3 linked regions of the Arabidopsis thaliana genome follow. Each later gene encodes a partner of the first gene's protein in a complex. Each region holds a gene or a part of one and is shown in the gene's direction. Other genes may lie near its edges. The genes, in order: DWA1, THO2 and THO7.

Evidence for each region.
Region 2: DWA1 (region 1) and THO2 share a complex: the UniProt entries of both Arabidopsis thaliana proteins name them as parts of the THO complex.
Region 3: DWA1 (region 1) and THO7 share a complex: the UniProt entries of both Arabidopsis thaliana proteins name them as parts of the THO complex.

Annotation. Positions count from the first base shown.
Region 1 is NC_003071.7:8,413,339-8,417,092, forward strand, and holds the start of DWA1 (DWD (DDB1-binding WD40 protein) hypersensitive to ABA 1), read left to right. Parts: upstream 1-1,707; 5' UTR 1,708-1,878; coding exon 1,879-2,204; intron 2,205-2,291; coding exon 2,292-2,368; intron 2,369-2,449; coding exon 2,450-2,495; intron 2,496-2,622; coding exon 2,623-2,683; intron 2,684-2,771; coding exon 2,772-2,825; intron 2,826-2,915; coding exon 2,916-2,996; intron 2,997-3,087; coding exon 3,088-3,127; intron 3,128-3,399; coding exon 3,400-3,500; intron 3,501-3,672; coding exon 3,673-3,754. Other genes in the region: AT2G19420 (uncharacterized protein), read left to right, coding at 241-545. UniProt on the Arabidopsis thaliana protein: Acts as a component of the THO subcomplex of the TREX complex which is thought to couple mRNA transcription, processing and nuclear export.
Region 2 is NC_003070.9:8,740,383-8,744,136, forward strand, and holds the start of THO2 (THO2), read left to right. Parts: upstream 1-1,557; 5' UTR 1,558-1,681; exon of another isoform or gene 1,682-1,768; 5' UTR 1,769-1,827; coding exon 1,828-1,962; exon of another isoform or gene 1,963-2,058; coding exon 2,059-2,184; intron 2,185-2,294; coding exon 2,295-2,336; intron 2,337-2,826; coding exon 2,827-2,886; intron 2,887-3,452; coding exon 3,453-3,515; intron 3,516-3,721; coding exon 3,722-3,754. UniProt on the Arabidopsis thaliana protein: Acts as a component of the THO subcomplex of the TREX complex which is thought to couple mRNA transcription, processing and nuclear export.
Region 3 is NC_003074.8:665,236-668,989, reverse strand, and holds the start of THO7 (Tho complex subunit 7/Mft1p), read left to right. Parts: upstream 1-2,067; 5' UTR 2,068-2,201; exon of another isoform or gene 2,202-2,393; intron 2,394-2,518; 5' UTR 2,519-2,550; coding exon 2,551-3,150; intron 3,151-3,248; coding exon 3,249-3,359; 3' UTR 3,360-3,754. Other genes in the region: AT3G02960 (Heavy metal transport/detoxification superfamily protein), read left to right, coding at 364-372, 462-636, 965-1,140, 1,273-1,366, 1,459-1,745. UniProt on the Arabidopsis thaliana protein: Acts as a component of the THO subcomplex of the TREX complex which is thought to couple mRNA transcription, processing and nuclear export.

The DNA of each region.
Region 1 (3,754 bases):
TGGCATTTGATTTGATTTGATTCTCCTTCCACATTCCCTTGTTCATATGTGTTTGTGTCTCACGCAAGCACTACATAAGCGGTCCCCCTAAATACGTTTCTAGAAACGTCAACGTTTATTCAATCATACCAAAATTTACATGTGTATTCATCAATCAGCCGACCATAAACTACATGGTCCATTAGTCATTACCTATACTGCAATTTTTCTAGCTTTTAACAGCCATTATGTACTTCACAGTTTGGAATACTGGTATGACGAAGAAAAGTCGAGGTAAAAAACGTATTAGAATAAATGTTTATCGTCCAAAGATCGCACCAGCAAAGAATAAGAAACCTAAACCAACAAAGGAACAATTAATGGACCCTGAATTTTCTGATGAAGACGTACTTACCAGCTTGGGTTTTGATGATGGCGGTTACATAATACCACTACCGAAAAAATCTCTCATGTTGATTAATCTACCAGATTCTTTTCGAGATGAGTTGCAAACGATGCATGTCAGTTTTTATCTCCGAGAAGTTGGCAAACTTATGTTTGGGTGAGGACAAATATGCTCTAGTGAATAGTACTAAGAAGTTGATGCTTACAGATGGTCTAGGACGGCTTCATTTGTTTTGGATGAATTCAATTTTTTTTCCGAATCAGTATTTGCGAATGAGATTTATGTAGCCCTAGATGTGAGATTTATGAAAGCTGGAAGTGCCAAAAAGAAAGGTGGAGATTTTAATTGTAACAAAAACGCACAGAGTCTTCTTTATGATTTTTTCTTGGTAGATATAGATGAGGAGATATATGGGTCAAAATTTGAAGAGACGGAAGACCAAAAGAAGTGGAACAAAAAATTTTGAATTGATTTGTCTTCATCATATTGTGCTATTAACATTAAACACGAAATAGAGCATCTGAATCTTGAATTCTATGGAATCTCTAAAACGAATAGACAGATCTCCGCGGAGGAAGTGAAATTCTCTACTCATACTGCATTCAAAATTAATTGAGTTTTTCAATTACATTGGAGGTTTATCCTTTGATACTTTCGGTTTGGTGATTTGAATGAAATGTTGGTTTTGACAGAAAAATGAATAACACTTGCATTAAAATCATCAAAAATTGAATAACACTAGAATCTAAGGAGGTGTATTCGATCTTATATTTTAAGTTATTTGAGTTTTTATATAATTTTGATTTTTTAAAGAATTTGGATGAATTTAAGGAGGTTGTTATGATTTATGGTAAAATCCTCTCAAATTCCACCTAAAACCATGAGATTTAAAATTATATATTTTTAACTAAGAAAATCCACTTAAGTCTCTTAAAGTCACTAAAATCCAATCTTTAAAATGTTTTCAATAACAGAAGATTTTTAAGGAGATTTTAAAATCAGTAATTCAATAGCATTAGATTTCATGATACTTTTAAAAATTCATAATTGAATAACATAGGATATGTTAGTTTGAATAAGATATCCTAGGTGTTAATTTACTATTTTTAAAAAGGTAAGATTTTTTTTCATGTTTTTAAAAAATGTGAGAGTTTTTTTACCTATTTTTCTATTAAAATGAAATGTATAAAATTAAAATTTTGTTTTTAAATAAAATTACTAAATTAAATATTACAAAATATGTATATATTACTATTTAGAATTCAAATATTATCGATACAAAATTAAATTTATTTCTTCAATTCGTCTATTTAAGCAAGCTAGTAATTTGATCGACAAAAAAAAAACAAGCTAGTAAAATATAATTAACAGAATTACTAAATCGGCCGGTTTAGGGATTGCTTTCTCTCAGTCGTCAATTGCACTAAACCACTGGTGGTAATATCGCTGGCGTTTCGCAAGTATCACCGGGAATTGCAAAGAAGCAGAGGACCATGTACGGAGACGCTACAAACTGGAATGAAGATGAGTATAGAGAATCAATTTTGAAGGAGCGAGAGATAGAGACACGCACCGTCTTCAGAACCGCCTGGGCTCCTCCGGCGAGAATCTCTAATCCAGACGCATTTGTTGTAGCCTCCAGCGATGGAACTTTAGCTTTCCATTCACTGAACTCGCTTGTGTCTCAATCGGCGAGTTTTGGCTACTCGAAAGGTCAAGATGTTATGGTGGCTGAACCTGAGAGAGTGGTTAGGGCACACGAAGGTCCTGCTTATGATGTTAAGTTCTATGGTGAAGACGAAGATGCTTTGCTACTTAGGTAGAGACTTAAATCTCTCTTTGTTGATTGATGAGTCTTTGATGAATTGTAATTGAGAGTTTGAAATTTTGATCTGGTTATGTGTAGTTGTGGTGATGATGGTAGAGTTAGGGGATGGAAATGGAGAGAATTTGCTGAATCAGATGTGTCTCTTCATTTGAAAGGTGTGTGTGTGCCATTTTTGTGGTTTTTGATATGAATGATGCTTTTTGGAGCTTAGTGGTTGTTTTTCTTATGATCTACAGAGAATCATCTGAAGCCATTGCTTGAACTGATTAATCCACAACACAAGTGAGTATGAGTTTTGTTCATTTTTTATTCTACTTGATAACTCTGTTACTGAAAATGCTATAATTGTGGGTTCAAATGTCAGTGTTCGTAATAGTTGTGTGTATAATCACCATTCTTTTTCTTATAGAGGTCCTTGGGGTGCGCTTTCACCGATGCCTGAGATCAATGCCATGTCTGTTGATCCTCAGGTTGGAATTGTATTTAAATTTCATTGCTTGGTTAGACAGTCTCACAGGATAACTGTTTCACCCTCTCTCACTTCTTTCGTTTTGATAGTCAGGAAGTGTATTTACAGCAGCTGGTGATTCTTGCGCATATTGTTGGGACGTGGTATGTATTTGACCATGATAGATGTATGTCCTATGTGAATCCAGATATCTTAACTTTCTAAAATCATTTATGTGTATCCAACAATTTCAGGAGAGTGGTAAGATTAAAATGACCTTTAAAGGTCATTCAGACTATTTGCATACTGTAGTTTCTCGTAGTTCTGCAAGTCAGGTAATGATGTTACCATAAATATTAGAAATGCACCTATCCAAATCTGAGTTCCACATTTGGATTTTTGTCTGATTGTAGTCTCTTTCTCCAGATATTGACGGGTTCAGAGGATGGGACTGCGAGAATCTGGGGTAACATGCTCCCGACCATATTTCTTTATGCTGTAATTTCTAGTATTAGGTCATACGTGGTTATAGAACTTTTGAAATCATTTGAGTCTTCATGTTGGTACTTAAGATCCAATGCTCCTCAGTTTTGTTGGCTGCTTCTTACAACTCTATGATGATTCATTTTGGTGATTACAGAACTTTCCACTATGTTATGTTTTGGTTCATGTGGTTTACTTTAGTTGTCTAGACTAAGCTTTGTTCGCTCAAGGGCTTCTTTCTGTTTTGTCAACCAGATTGCAAAACGGGAAAATGTGTTAAAGTAATTGGTTCCCAGGATAAAAAGTCCCGCCTTCGCGTTAGTTCTATGGCCCTTGATGGGAGTGAAAGCTGGTTGGTAAGAACTAAGCAACTAGATAATCTAACATTTTCGCAACCTGCTATTTGTTTGAAGGGATTGTTGCCTCCAGTAACCTAAGAATATAGTTCCTTTCTCCTGAAGAATCACTTAGAAGTTTAAATACTGAACATGTATTTACTGTTATTGGTATGATTTTCTCCTCTTTCAGGTTTGTGGACAGGGCAAAAATTTAGCTTTATGGAATCTTCCCGCCTCAGAATGCGTACAAACAATACCCATCCCTGCACATG
Region 2 (3,754 bases), on another chromosome or scaffold:
TGGATACATATTTGATTTGCTATAAATTATAACCCTAGGTTATGAAGATTTTTTTTTTTTTTTAGGTTACGAAGAATGTTGACGTAAATTGTAAAGACAACAAAAATAGTATTTTCATCAACATTACTTAGTTTTATTCCATGCATGATGGAACTTTGGTTGAGGATTTCTATTTCTCACAAGGTAAATTCCATCATTTCTAGCAATCTAACGACGTAGAGCATCACATCGATCAATGTTGGCTGCTCTATATGCTACAAAATCTTTATAATATCGCATGTATAAGCCGTGTTTCAAAAGACAAGTCCATCTTGTCCTTCTTCCAAACATGTCTCCGAAACGGATTTGTTTTAGTTCCTTGAATTGTAAATTTGCGACGTCTAAATTGTCGTCTTTTGAATGACGATGATACTAGAGAACCAAACCGGGACCAAGATCATTCATAATTTCAATTGTGTTACGTTTACAAGACAAAACTGATACAAGCAATCCAAAATACGTCGCAACAACTAACATAAAAATTATAAAACGATTCATTTTTCGGGTAATATGAAACTCCAATTTGAATTTAATGACACCAAAGTACAGTATCTATAGTTATTTCGTGTGGTTAGTATTTGACGATTTTCCTATGGCCTTAATAAATTAGTTAAACTGAAACACAAACATGTAGTTAATAATAGATAATGTCGGAAAGTCTGGTTGACTAATAAAAAAAAACAAATGAATTCAACATTACAAATTATAAGTGATCCAAAAAACCTAACAAAAACCAAAATGTTTAATATATAACAAAAATTCTTCTAAGCATATTCTTTAATTCTAGACGAGGCAATTTGGAAGCACTGATTTGAACATAACAAAATAACAGCAGCCCTCGCGCCAATACAGGCACATTAAGTTTAACTATAAATGACTTTTAGCGGATTAGATTTTAACATAATGAGTTTATAAACAGGCCAGACCTAAAACAAATAGCTTTCGAATAACGTTGGTCAAACCGACCCGTTTTCTTTTGTTGTTGTTTCTTGAGCAAAGGAGGACGAGGAGGAGAAGAAGGAGAAGATGACTGTAAGTTGGATCAACTTTTCAATTGCTTATGGATCTTTTCTGACTTTCTTTGATCGTTTTTTTGTCCCGAGTAGTTAACGATTCTGGTTGAAAACGGGAATGGAGCGAAGAACGCTGAGAAATTTTTTAGGTTTTGGTTTCCATATTTTAGTTAATTTGGTATGTTACTAGCTAGTACTTGTACTCGTTGCTTTCTATTTGTTTATATCTGTTAGGACCAAAAGATGTAATTAACATTTTTAATTCGATATTTGCCTAATTGCCTTGTTAGTAGTATCGTGGTGGACTCAAAGATCATCTGAGCCCATGGGCTTGTTCAATAACAACCAATTCATAGTTTCACGCCCATTCAAAACAAAATCATACGACTTAACCGGACCCGGTTTTGTATTGAAATTGTATACAACATAATTTGCTGAAACAAAAGACGACAGAAAAACAAAATCGGTAAGTAGTAGAAAAAGGAAAAGAATAGTCCCCTCTTCTGCAAAATCAAAAACATATTTGCATCATCTTCACACCGTCATCATCATCGTCTTCAATTTACTTCCACCAAATCAAATAATCTCTCAAAAACCCTAATTTCTCTTTTTCTTCTCTGATCAAAATTGTTCGTTCCTCTCCCTTTTCATCTTATCGGAATGCTTATTTTCTGGTCGCCAATCGAAGTCTAAACCCTATTTTCTTAATCTTCTAGGGTTTCGAAAAGGGAGGAGAGTGAAAGATATACATACATACACACGAAAGGGGTTTAAGATGTCTCTTCCGCTACTGGAGTGTAAGTACGTGACGGAGGAGTTTGTTCGTGAAGGTAAGAATGGCAACTATGGAACCAAGCTGCCCAGCTCTGTGCCGATGCTTCGTTTCCTCTACGAGCTCTCTTGGATTTTGGTATACACACAAACACCACCTTCTCTTCCTACTACTATCCAATCACGCGTATATGTTGTTCGAGTTCCTCAACGGTGCCTCGTGATGGATTATTAGGTTCGTGGCGAATTGCCAATTCAGAGCTGTAAGGCAGTGTTGGAAGGTGTGGAGTTTTTGGATAAGCCATCGAGAGAAGAATTAGCTTCGTGTTTTGCGGATGTTGTGACTCAGATAGCTCAAGACGTAAGTCCAATTACAGTTTTGACATCCTTAGCTCAGAGATGATTGTGCAAGGTTATTGATACTGATCGTTGGATTGATTGGGTTCGTGTTCTCTTTGCTTTGTTTTGCAGCTTACCATGTCGGGAGATCAACGTTCTCGTCTAATCAAATTGGTGAGTGCTAGAATTTATTTTACGTTTTGAAAATTGATCATTGTTTGGATTTGTTAGTCTTGAGGAAAGATAATTCTAGCTCTTTAGATATTAGTGATCACAAAAAGTAACATCCTATGAATAGATTAGGCATGTGGTGTATAGCTATCAGTAGTGTCCTAAGGTTCAACCAACCGATGGCTCATCCTGGGCAGGTTGCAAGAAAGTTCCTGATTGTAAAAGGCTACTTCATCCTAAGGAGCTGAAACTTTGACCATAGTGCCTTAGATGATCTATTAGCGTAGTTTGGTATTGAATTTTCCTTGTATGCTTGATCCAATGTTCTCTGATGAGCTGCTTACAGAGGAGTTGTTAGCATATGTCTTATTTTATTGAATTTGATGATTGCGTACTTTAGTTTCTTCCTTAAAATATTCTTTCTGTTCTCATTTACCATCTCCTCAAGGTTTCTATGCTCACAGCTAATGAACCAATTGTTCTTTTTTGGTAGGCGAAATGGCTTGTGGAATCACAGACAGTCCCTCAAAGGCTTTTCCAAGAGCGTTGCGAGGTAAACATTATGTTACGTTCAGCCAATGAAACAGAGTAATACGTAGAGAATCTTTATATTAATAGAACTTAAAACAAGAAAATACAGCTTTGAGAGGTTTCTTAATAGAGTCCCCTCTTATCCCCCCTTCCACCTTTCACTAGTTCTCGATAACTCCCTCACTGGTACCCCTCATCTATATAGCATGTGCATCATGCAATCCTACTGCCCATCATAGAAACCGTAGCTTGAACAAGTCTGGAGTGATAGATAGAGACTGCTAAATAATAGTTATTGTAGCTGCTAAGGTAGTTATAGAAGTTAACTTCAAGGCTGTAGCCTGTTTCGAATGTCACATTAATCCCTTAAGACTGAAGAATTGTCCTCAAAGATCCAGTGGACCAGCTGGTCTCACGGAATAGCCCTCTTCTTCTTGCTGTAGATGTAAAGGATAGGAGCGGGCAAGTCCTAAAATGTTTGTTATTATTCCCAATTTGAGTAGTTTGTACCCCACCCACTTAACCTCTCTATTTTCTTGATCAGTAAGAAGAAAATTTTCTGAAGGCGTTTTATTTATTTTATTTTAGGAGGAGTTTCTCTGGGAAGCTGATATGGTTAAAATAAAGGCCCAAGATTTGAAGGGGAAAGAGGTGAGGACTTCACACTTCTGTAACTGCTGTATTAATATGACTTCACACTTTAGTCATCAATGCAGCTGCACTGTGCTCTGATTTACGTAATAGTTACTCTGAGTGAATTGCTATTGCGAAAGATTAATGCTTATAAGAATTTCTACTTTACCTGTGTAACTACTGCTCATTGTTTATAAGTAACAATTCTGGTTGATGCTTCTCAGGTGCGATTAAACACTCGTCTTCTGTACCAGCAG
Region 3 (3,754 bases), on another chromosome or scaffold:
GTTGATAAGTAAGAAAATAAAGCTCGAAGATTTGTAACTATTCATGATTTTAGAAAATCGGAATAATGAATAGTGTACTTATTTGGACACTGAATAAGAAGTTACACAAGTCCCGATTGAAATTTAATTTACTAATGATCGTTACAAAATTATTTGTCTCTTTGTCATCAATCCTGTTAGTGAATATTAGAATTATTATTCATTGTAAACAAATAGGATCATCCAGATTGAGAAGTAAATAATTTTATGTATGTTACAAATGAAATAATTAATTGATCGTAAAACCTCTCTGACCTTATATATATCGAGTCTCACTATTCAACTTTTTCATTGCACTTGTCGTACAAAGGAGTAAACATTGATATGGGAAAGGTATGTGCATTCCTGTCTTTGGTAATTCCAGTAATTTGTTAAGTAAATTATGTGAACTTATATTTTGTGTTTTGGATTTGGTTCTAAAGAACAAGCAAAATGGAGAATCAGACAACAAGTCTGAAAAGAAGAACCAGAAAAATGGAGATTCATCAGTCGATAAGTCTGATAAGAAAAATCAATGTAAAGAAATTGTTCTGAAGGTTTACATGCACTGTGAAGGATGTGCATCACAAGTTTCTCATTGCTTGAGGGGCTATGATGGTAATACTCTATTAAAAGAAACATTATTAGATTACTTTCCCTCTTTAATGGAATCATATATATATGGTCTCGATCATAAGAATCAATGTCAAATATTTAATCATTTATCATTGAGTGAAATTGTACTATAATTTAACTTAAGCATTATCTAGTCTGGTTTCAGTTTTATTTTTCTTTCCTGTAATCTAGAGAAGTTGTCTATTAATTCCCACAATGACATAACGAATAGTAATCTCTAGTTCTTAAAGCATCAATTAAAAAATAGGATTACCGTTTTTTTCTTCTTACTCATGACTCATAAGTAGCTATTATCTTATTTGTCTTATAGGGGTTGAGCATATTAAGACAGAGATAGGAGACAATAAAGTTGTTGTGTCTGGAAAATTTGATGATCCGTTGAAGATATTACGAAGAGTGCAAAAGAAATTTAGTAGAAATGCTGAGATGATTTCCCCAAAACATAACCCTAAACAAGATCAGAAGGAGCCACAGCAAAAGAAAGAAGTAAGTTATTTCCAATTATTTCGTGTTAGAACTTAGATATATACTCTCATTTATATCATACCTTGTCTAATTAATCTGAGAATAACAACTAACATATCTAATCATTTCTAAATATTTTTTGCATGATTTTAGAGTGCTCCCGAGATCAAAACTGCAATTTTAAGAATGAACATGCACTGTGAAGGATGTGTTCATGAAATCAAAAGAGGCATTGAAAAAATAAAAGGTAATCTTTGTATATACATATAGAAATAATACGATATCGAAAGTTAAAAAAAACAACTTAGAATATGTTTGTTTGTTTTGACAAATTAAAAGGCATTCAATCGGTGGAACCAGACCGGTCAAAGTCAACGGTAGTGGTACGAGGAGTCATGGATCCTCCAAAACTTGTGGAGAAAATCAAGAAAAAACTTGGGAAACATGCAGAGCTTCTAAGTCAAATTACAGAGAAAGGCAAAGACAATAATAAGAAGAACAATAATAAGAAGGAAGAAAGTGATGGAAACAAAATCTTTAGTTACCCTCCTCAGTATTCATCTCAACATGCTTATCCCTCTCAGATTTTTAGCGACGAAAATGTACATTCTTGTTCAATCATGTGATTTTTTGACCCGTAAAATTAGAGTCTTTTTAAGTTATCTTTTATGGTTTTGATTTCCTTGCTACACATTTCTATATCTCAATAGATTTTAATTTAATTTAATTTTTGAGTGACACTTTATGAAAGTAAGATTTGGTGTCATGTGTATACTCGATTACTAGATTATGTTTGTAGTTGTGGGCCTTTTGTACAATTATTTGTAAAAAAAAATTAACAGGGCATTAGAGTATAAAAAAAAAGAATGTGGGTATATATTATATTTTAATAACTTAGGGTCTATTTTGTAATATAATATAAGTTGAGAGTACTTGTTGCATTTAACCCAAAAAGAAAAAGACAAGGGAGGACGAAGATGAATTGTCTCAATTTTTAGGGTTCATCAAAATTTGAACAAAAGGGACCTGTTTTGCTCAATTTTTGATAGCAGAAGACGAATCTGGATCTGGGGTCACTTCAAGTAAGTAAAGAGTTAACCTTTTGCTTTTTTTTGTACCATAAATTGTGTTCGAATGGTACGATTGAGAAATTGCTTACGAATCAATGAAATAACAGTTAAGATTTTGATGATGAATGCTCATGAAAATCTATTTAAGTTTGATTGAGAAATTGAAGAAGAGAATAAGAAATCGAGAGATTTATTGCGTAAATGGTAATACTTTATGTTTCAGTTCTGCTATTTAGATCCAAGCTTGAATATGTATCCCTTAGCTTTATTTCTGTAGGTTAAGATTGTTTGGTTGTTGAATGTTCTTTGTTTGTGCATTGCCTTTGCAGGATTGAATTAAGAGGTTTTTAAGTAAGTTGAGATGTCAGTTAAAGCAAGGAGAATTTCTGGTAGATTAGAGACTGTAGTAACTAAGGTTAATTATGCATTTGATCCTGTTGACGATGACAAAATCATAAGAAACCGGCTTCTAACCCGAACCACGACCACTCGAGGCGAGCCTCCATTGAAGAAACTTCAGAAGAAGTTCACTTCTTTTGTACTCGAGGTGGATAAAGAAGAAGAGAACTATAACGACTGCGGTAGACTTGCCAAAGCTTTTTTACAGGAACTGTCAACTTTCGAGATTCCGCTTCTGAAGAGCCAAGCGGTTGTGGAAGCAAACCTTAGGGAGAAAGAGAGCTTTAATGAGGTGAAAGATGAGACGGAAAGGCAGATAATGCAGGCGAAAGCTGAGATTGAAGATCTAAAGAAGCAGCTTGAGGAGAGTAAAATAGATAGACAGCATAAAGAAGAGTGTGAGACGATAAGGAAACTGATTTCTGCGCAACCGCCAAGGTCAGAGACAGAGAAGGTTATATATGAATTGAACAAGGAGATTGCTGAGCTTGAAGCAGAGAGCACTGCAAGTTGGAGATTGCTTGAGCTAAGGAAGAAGCAGTTTGCTCTCCTGATGCATGTGGTAATGTCAAAAAACCGAACCTTTTACGTTTCAGTCTTCATTACGTGATCTATGTTTGAAGTTTGAGTTTGTGATTGTGAACGTTTTTGGGAATGTAGGTGGATGAGTTGCAGAACACAATGGAAGATGAGCAGAAGAGTTTGGTGGACGAGATTCGGTCAGCGTCGGAAGATCAGAGGAACATAACCGACGCTATGTCTGTTGATTAAGTCCAAATCTCGATAAAACCTGCATCATGTTTCAAGCGTTTGCTTTGTCATCTGTTTCCTGTTTCTGATATGCCTATGTTAACCAAAACTGCGGCAGCTCAGTATACTGAAACCTGTGATTCGGATAGAAGAACTGAGAAACAAAGATTGTTTCTTTCAAATTTGCAGATGCAAGAAAGATTGTATCATTGTAAAATGCAGATGTTTAAGAAATTATGGTTTGTATAACCGGTTAAGAAATACCAATTTCTTGGTAATGTACTTTTTTACTCCAAACCGAGGCTGAACTGTTGATTCAATTAAACCGAGGTGGTTTACTATAAATTAATTACGTCGTGACGGGTTTGCTTTTGAACCGGCTTAGAAATTAGAAATTAAACAGTGTTCCGCTTTTG